2 linked regions of the Coturnix japonica genome follow. The protein of the gene in region 1 purifies or fractionates together with the protein of each later gene. This does not show direct contact. Links are inferred from orthologs where the notes say so. Each region holds a gene or a part of one and is shown on either strand. Other genes may lie near its edges.

Region 1 (4,111 bases):
AGGGAGGAGGGAGGGTTAACCGCAGGCGCCAGGCTGCGGCGAGCAGCAGCAGCAGCCTCAGCACCGGCAGCGATTCTGTGCTCAGAGCAGACGGCAAAAACCCTCCTGGAATCAGCACTCGTTGGAGGGAACGCACCCCAGCCCCAAAGGCACCGCGCTCCCCAAGAGGTGCAGGGTGGGGGTCCCCATGGGCGCTCCTGGGGCTGGGCAGGGATGCACTCACGTTTTGATGACCTGGCCCAGGTCATATCTGTCGGTCACCTCGGACGGTTGGTTGTAGTCTTTCTTGTCCCCCAGTGTCACGCAGCCAAACGGCATCGCAGGGCCCAGTGCTGCAGAGGCAGAGGAGCCGTGAGAGCCCCAGCCCCGCTGCCCGCACCCATCCCTCCTGAGCAGCATAAAACCTGACAGAGTGCAGCCCATCCCCGTGGCGTCCGGCCGCTCTGCCCCACCAGCTTTGCAGCTTGGTAACAAATCTATTCCATAGGCAGAGCCATGAGCAGCTCGCCGGGTGGTGTGGCGAGTAGACTGGTTCCTCAGCCCCATTTTGCCCTGTGGTGATGCTTTTTCAGCTCCAGCATCGCCTGCTGCATGCTGCCACCCTGCCCTTCGGGGATGGTGTTGTGCCCTCTGCCTTCCTGGCAGGATCCCTCCAATCCCAGCCCCTTCTCTGGAGCTTGCTGCCAAAAAAACCCGTTCCCAGAAAGTGATTTTTTTTTCCTCTTTCCCATCCCGTTCAGGGAGGAAGTTTGAACGGATGTTATTTTCTGATGCTTCAGGAAGAGAAGGGCTCCGTGGCCCCGCTCAGCCTGAGCGGGACGTCCAACGGGATGCTGGTGTGGTGCCTGAGGCACCGATCGCCCCCAGCTCCCGGGATGACAAGCCGTGCCGTGCCGCACCGCACCGCGCTGCCAGCACCCGCCGCCCCGGTCCCGGTGGCAGGATGGCGGAGCGGGATGCAGGAGCCGGCGCGGCGGGTACCCAAGCGCTGAGCCTGTTGCTATGGCGATGGGAGCTGAAGATGCAGAAAGCGGCACATCCTGCGGCGGGGGCAGGGACGGGCAGCACCCGCAGCACCCGACCTGCTGCGCTGCGCAGCCCCGGCAATGCCGCGCCGACCCCCGATGGGGGCCTTGTCTGTGGCACCATGTGCGGGCACAGGGATGATCCCTGGGGTGGGTGACCCCGAGGGGGGTGTGGGGACAGAGATGCAGGGGTGTGGGGATGCTCCATCGTGCGCTCGCTGCCTCCATCCAGCCCTGCCTGCGGGATGGGAGCCCCTCGCTGTGCAGCACCAGGGCATCAGCCTGTGCCAGGTGAGAGCAGCCGGCCCCATCGCACTCAGAGTGCGCCCACTCCCAAAAGAGAAGCAAAGCACCCGTGGGTGCAGAAGAACTCAACCCCAAGCTACAGACCTGCTGAAGCCTCCCTGGCTTCCCTGGGCTCAGCCCAACAGGGGACATGCCCTGCCTGACTCCTCCGAGTGTCCCCGTGCCACACAACGCAGGCTGTGCCGTGCCGCTGCCCCTGGGCGAGGGGACGAGGGCTGTCCCCGCAGCCAGTGGCCGGCTGGGAGGGCTGGGATGATGAGCTGCCGGCGTGCTGCGTGGATGAGCCATGCAGGGACCCGATGGGATGACAGATAGGGATCTGATTGCTGCCTCTGCAAGCGCTCGGCTGACCTGCGCCCATCCCAGCAGCTCCTGCTGGCTGAGCGGGTGCCATCCTGCCGGGCTGAGCACCGTCCTCTGCCCCGGGTCAGCATCCCCGGCATGTCCTGCAGGTGAGAGCTGGGCGCAGCAGGGAGGCTGGATGCTGCTCTGGCACCCGCACGCAGCCGGCCCCCCCCCCCTTCTGAAGCAGCTAATTTGGGAGCAGAAGCAACAGCGGGTGTAAGACAATAGCGGGAGGTGGGTGGCCGGGTGCGGACGGGATGACGCAGCCGTGCAGCCCTCACCAGCATCCCCCCAGCATCCCGGAGCTCAGCTCTGCCCCACGGCTCGGGGACCCCCAGCTGCAGCTCAGCCAGCCTCACCTGCAGCCCCTCGCACCTGCAGCCCCCAGCCGCGCTGCCAGAGGGTCCCCGCCGCACCCCCCATCCCACGAGAGTGCTGTAGCAGAGGAAAGCGGACACAAGCGTCCACAGTGCGGGCGGCAGCAGAGTGGAGGGGCTACGGGAGCCCGCAGCGCTGCACCCAAAGGGAGCTCCTGGGATGCGGACAGAGACGGGGCCGGGGGGTCCCTACAGCCCGGTGCCCCCCAACCAGGATGCATCTGCCCAGGAGCGAGCTGGGGGCTGCAGCAGCGGAGAGCGGGCGGGGAAGGATACAAAGCTTGTCCGGCAGCGATGGGATGGGGTGGGGTGTGGTGGGATGCGATGGGACGGGACGAGATGAGGTGGTACGGGATGCGGTGGGATGAATGGGATGGACGGGGATGGAGCGGGGTTGGGACGGGACGGCAGCTCGGCCGCCCGCCGGGGTCGGGGAAGGCGGCAGCGGGGGGCGGCGCGGGGCGGCCGTCGGGGCGCACACGGGCACGGCACGGGGGGATGAGGCACGGATACGGAGGGGCAGCCCCGGGCCAACACATGGCGATCCCCAGCGACGCCCCCGGCCCGGCCCAGCAGCCCCACGCCCCGAGGGCGGCACGGTTCAGCCCGGCTCGGCTCGGCATCCCCCCGGGGCCGTCCCGCCGCGCTCACCTCTCGCCTCTCCGACAGCAACGGGGGGCGCGGCCCGGGGCCGCCGCTCTTGGGGAGCCGCGCGGTGCCGGGCGGTGCGGAGCGGTGCGAAGCCGAGCCGAGCCGAGCCGAGCCGAGCCGAGCACCGCCGTCGCTCCGTCGCGGCGCGGCCCCGCGCGCCCGGCGCGGCAATTGGGGGGGGTGGGGCCGCCGGGTGCCGCCCCTCCTCCGGTGGGGTCCCCCCGCCCCTCCCGTGACGTAACCCCAAACTTTGCGACCCGCCCCCTCTTGGTGCGGGAGCCGCCACCCACGGGAGTGGGGTGCGTGGCATCGCTGTGACACCGCGAGGGGTGGGGGGATGCGGGGACACCTAAAGGGATGGAGCGCTGGGACAGCTGCAGCCAACGGAGTGACATCATGGGCAGCGAGTGGGGTGGGGTGGGATGGGATGGGATGGGATGGGATGGGATGGGATGGGATGGGATGGATGGGATGGGATGGGATGGAGGGGATGGGGTGGATGAGTTGGGATGGATGGGATATGGAAGGACAGGTCAGGGTAGGACAGAGGAAGTAAGATGGACCGAGGTGAGTTGGATGGAATGGGTGTAATGGGATGGGATGGATGGAATGGTGTGCGTAGGATGGGACAGGATGGGGTGGGATGGATCAGAACGGGTGGGATGGGGTGGATGAGGTGTGATAGGACGGGACAGGACATTTGGAGGAGATAGGATGGATTGGGATGGATTTGATGGGATTGATGTGATGAGCTGGAGTTGGATGGATAATATGGATTGGGATGATTGGGAGGGGTTGGATAGGGTGAGTGTGATGGGATAGAGAGGGATCGATGGTATGGATTGGGATGATTGGGATGGGGCTAATAGGATGGATGGGATGGAAGTAGATGAATGAGATAGGATGGGGTGGATGGGATGGTGCGATGGGATGAGTGGTATGGCTGGGATGGAATGGGTAGGATGGGTCAGGACAGGATCTGATAGGACAGTGGAAGAGATGGGATGGAATGGTATGCGTTAGATGGGATGGGATGGATGAGGTGGGACAAGGTGGGATGAGTGGGATGGGATAGGATAAGATAAAATAGGATAGGACAGCACAAGGTGGGATGGATTAAACAGAATAAAGATGGGTGGGATGGAATGGGATGGAATAGGAAGAGTGCAACCCTGCTGGAGCTGGGCACTTTCCTTCAGGCTCCGTCCTTCTCGCCCTGACTGCTCACAGACCCTTGTCAAGACCCAGAGCCCCCACAGCCCCGGCCTCACTGCCACGCACACCATGTAATTAACAGCGCGTGAGCTCGGGGGAATTAGCAGAGCGCCGTACATTGAGCTTCTAATCAAGAGTTTAATCACACAGCCTGGAAGCAGCGCACGGCTCTGTTATTAATCTTTGCCCACC
Region 2 (4,104 bases), on another chromosome or scaffold:
GCACTGGGGTGGCTGTGGATGGGGCACCGTCGGACCACAGCCTTCCCTATGGGGCAGCAGGGACCACAGCCCTCCCTATGGGGCCGCAGACTGCTGACGGGGCAGCGCCGTCCCGGAAAGCACCGCGGGGCCGCGGTTCCCCACTGGGGGTTATAGGGACGGAACGGAGCGATCCCGGCCACCCTGATGGGATGGAGGGTTGTGTCGAGTGAGGACCGGCCCGGGCCCGATCTGCGGTCAGACAGAGCAGTTTTGGTTAAGGGGAAAACTATGAGCTGCGATGCTGCAACGCTGCTGGCTCTGTGGGTTCATCGCTGTGGGGCTGGAGGGGGGACGAGCAATGAGGGGAGGTACATGTGTGTAACCCCATTGCTGGGTATGGGGGGGGTAAGGGTGGGAAATGGGGATCCCAAGGGGGAAGCGGAGCCATTCAGTGCTGGATGGATGGATGGATGGATGGATGGATGGATGGATGGATGGATGGATGGATGGATGGATGGACAGCAGCACCATCAGCCCGTATCAAGGAGGGACGTGGCCCTTGGGAGCACCATGGGGGGCTGAGCTGAGGGTGCTGACCCCCCCCCCCGTGCATTACAGCCCATCCCAGCCCGTCCCCACCATGATGGATGCTTGTTCCTTGGATCTGGCTGCCCCTAGAGCTGTGCTTGGGGCTGCCCTGACCCAGCGCAGAACAGAGAGCTCAGCCCTCCAGGAGGATGGAAGGGAGGTGGGTGGGGGCGAGGATTCTCTGGGTCCCTTCCAACCCAAACCATTCCATGTCTCTGTTTCTCAGTTTATTTATGACTGAATCAGATCATAGTGGGGTTAAGCTTCTTTATTCATTCTTTTATCTGTTTATTTATGCATTATGTCCTCATCCTCATCCCATCCCATCCCATCCCATCCCATCCCATCCATCCTCCATTCCAACCCATCCTCCATCCCAACCCATCCATCCTCCATCCCAACCCATCCCATCCCTTCTCACCTCATTCCCATCCATTTTCATCCCATTCCCATCCCACCCCATCCCATCCCATCCATGCCCATCCCATCCCCCGCCATCCCCATCCACCCATCCCCATCCCATCCATCCCATCCATCCCATCCCATCCCATCCCATCCCATCCCATCCCATCCCATAGTCCTCCCGTGGCGGTCCATTCCCCCCTTCCACCACTAGGTGGCGCCATGGTGCCGCTCCCGTTTCCATCCCGTCTCTTCTATCTCCCCGCCTCACTCATCCAGCGGCCGCGTGATGACGTCATCACGCACTAACGTCACTCCAGAGCCGCCCCCGGCGCCCCGCGCGGTGCCCGCAGTGTCCGCCGCATCGCGCTGCGAACCGACCGGAACCGAACGGAACCGAACGGAACCGAACGGAACCGAACGGAACCGAACGGAACCGAACGGAACCGAACCGGGGCGGCCCATCCCTCCTCCTCCCCTTGTACCCCTCCGTTCCGCCTCGAGACACGATGTCGGGCCCGGAGCCCAGCGGCGGTGAGGAGGCCAAGCAGGCCAAGGAGGCGGAGGACGCTGAGAAGTTTTCCTTTATGGCCACCGTTACCAAAGCGCCCAAGAAGGTACAACGGGATCGATAGGGGCTGGAATGGGGCCTATGGGGCTGTATGGAGCTGTATGGGGCTGTATGGGGCTGTATGGGGTCAATATGGGGCTGTATGGGGCTGTATGGGGCTGTATGGGGCTGTATGGGGCTGTATGGGGCTGTATGGGGCTGTATGGGGCTGTATGGATCTGTATGGGGCTGTATGGGGCTGTATGGATCCGTATGGGGCTGTATGGGGCTGTATGGGTCTGTATGGGGCTGTATGGGGCTGTATGGGGCCGTATGGATCTGTATGGGGCTGTATGGGGCCGTATGGATCTATATGGGGCTGTATCGGTCTGTATGGGGCTGTATGGATCGGTATGGGGCTGTATGGATCCGTATGGGGCTGTATGGATCTGTATGGGGCTGTATGGATCGGTATGGAGCCGTATGGGGCTGTATGGAGCCGTATGGGGCTATATGGATCTATATGGGGCCGTATGGGGCTGTATGGATCTGTATGTGGCTGTATGTGGCTGTATGGGGCCGTATGGTGCCCTATGGATCTGTATGGAGCCTTATGGATCTGTATGGGGCCGTATGGATCTCTATGGGGCCGTATGGGGCCGTATGGGGCTGTATGGATCTGTATGGAGACTTATGGATCTGTATGGGGCCGTATGGAGACTTATGGATCTGTATGGGGCCGTATGGAGACTTATGGATCTGTATGGGGCCGTAATGGGGAGACTTATGGATCTGTATGGGGCCGTATGGAGACTTATGGATCTGTATGGGGCCGTATGGATCTGTATGGAGCCTTATGGATCTGTATGGAGCCATATGGGGCCCTATGGATCTGTATGGAGCTATATGGGGCCGTTTGGATCTGTATGGGGCCGTATGGATCCGTATGGAGCCCTATGGAGCCCTATGGAGCCCTATGGAGCCCTATGGAGCCCTATGGGGCCATATGGGGTCGTATGGATCTGTATAGGGCCTTATGGATCTGTATGGAGCCGCATGGGGCCCTATGGATCTGTATGGGGCCGTATGGGGTCGTATGGATCTGTATAGGGCCTTATGGATTTGTATGGGGCCGTATGGTGCCATGGGGTGAGAGCTGAGTGCTGCCCCACCATGTAGGGCTGTTGTCGGGGCTTATAGGTGGGCACATCGCTGTGTGCTGGGCTCAGGGTGTCCCCATTGGGCTCAGTGCTTTGCTATGGGTCCCCGTGTGCTCATAGTGGGGACACAGCCCCCATTGGGGACCCCCCTATGGGTGGTTATGGCAGCACTGGGATGTGATGGGAGCGGAGGGTTGGAGGCTGTCGTGCCCAGCTCTGTTTATTCAGGCTTTGGATGTGGCCTGAAGGAAGGAGCGGAGGAATGTGGAGCTGGGAGCTTGTAGGGGGGGTTTGTGTTCTTATTGCTTTTGTATTTAATGGAGCTGGGCTGGTCATGGAGCTGATGGTAACAGGGTGAGGCTGTGGCTGAGCTGGGAGCAAGCAATGAATCCTGGAGCATCATACCCACGGAATAAGAAATAACCTCAGTGTATCCAGGGGGAATCCTGGTGTTCTCAGAGCTCTGTCTGTGCTCGGGTTGGTTTGGGATCCTTCCTTACCTCGCTGTGCTGCTGTGTGCATTGAATTGCGTTGCATTGCATTGCGTTGCATTGCATTGCATTGCATTGCACAGCACCAAGAGCAGCCGTCACACTGCAGCGCTGTGATGGTGGAGGTGCCCTGAGCCACGGGAGGCATTTGATGCTGATAACATCAGCGTTGCATTGAGATCCTGGGGAGCTTGCAATGCAACTGAGGTCAAGGAACAAAGCGCTCGGGGCTGCTGCTCTCCTTGCATGGCTGCTTTGTGCAAATAGGGCTCAGTTATAGGGGAAACCTTGGCAGGAGGATGAAAGGAGAAGGATGGAGAATCACCCTGCAATACAGCGCTGAGTGCCCCCAGCTCTGGGCATTTCAGATGCTTTCCAATTGCAATGGAACCATTCAAACGCCTCTTGGTTTTAATGCAAGCCAAAGCTGCTTACGGCTGCTCCGAGCGTGGCCAGCATTGAAGATGGCTGAGAGGTGGAGCTGGAGGACACAGTGTGTGCCCTGATACTGGGATGGAGCTGAGCTGTGTGAGCTGAGCTCCTCAGGGAGCAGCTTTGCCTTGTCCCAGTGCATGGGGTGGGTGTCCCCAGCTTGGAGCCCCCCCTTGAGCACAGGGGGAACACATGGGCTGCATCGGAACCCTTCAGCATCGCTCTCCTGATTTGCTTAAGGTGAAAAAGTGAAACAGCAGGAGGTAAGAGATTAAAAGATTACACGCCATCGGATTGAAGTCGGAGCTGCAGCCGTCAGAGCTGGGGGTTCCCTGCAGCAATGCGGCCGCTGCTGCTCCAGGAGCTGCTGGCGTCGCCTGCAACCTCTTGCAGCTCCTTTGCTGCTCTGCTTCCCGGGGACAAAACAGTGGGAGCCATTGGGCTGCTGGGCAGGGAGAGCTTTGCAGGCAGAGGTGAGCGATGCTGAGCCTTGTGCTTT

Evidence for each region. Proteins that work in one complex are often made in the same cells at the same time.
Region 2: the proteins of CAMKV (region 1) and AHCYL1 purify together in Homo sapiens (affinity purification with mass spectrometry; 3 studies listed by BioGRID and IntAct, counting the BioPlex papers as one, with this or other methods). This does not show direct contact. The link is inferred for Coturnix japonica from reciprocal best matches to the Homo sapiens genes CAMKV and AHCYL1.

Annotation. Positions count from the first base shown.
Region 1 is NC_029527.1:1,485,443-1,489,553, forward strand, and holds the start of CAMKV (caM kinase-like vesicle-associated protein), read right to left. Parts: upstream 2,825-4,111; 5' UTR 2,705-2,824; intron 333-2,704; 5' UTR 319-332; coding exon 224-318; intron 1-223. UniProt on the Homo sapiens protein: Does not appear to have detectable kinase activity.
Region 2 is NC_029541.1:1,678,400-1,682,503, forward strand, and holds the start of AHCYL1 (S-adenosylhomocysteine hydrolase-like protein 1), read left to right. Parts: upstream 1-1,295; 5' UTR 1,296-1,481; coding exon 1,482-1,589; intron 1,590-3,650; exon of another isoform or gene 3,651-3,868; intron 3,869-3,956; exon of another isoform or gene 3,957-4,078; intron 4,079-4,104. UniProt on the Homo sapiens protein: Multifaceted cellular regulator which coordinates several essential cellular functions including regulation of epithelial HCO3(-) and fluid secretion, mRNA processing and DNA replication.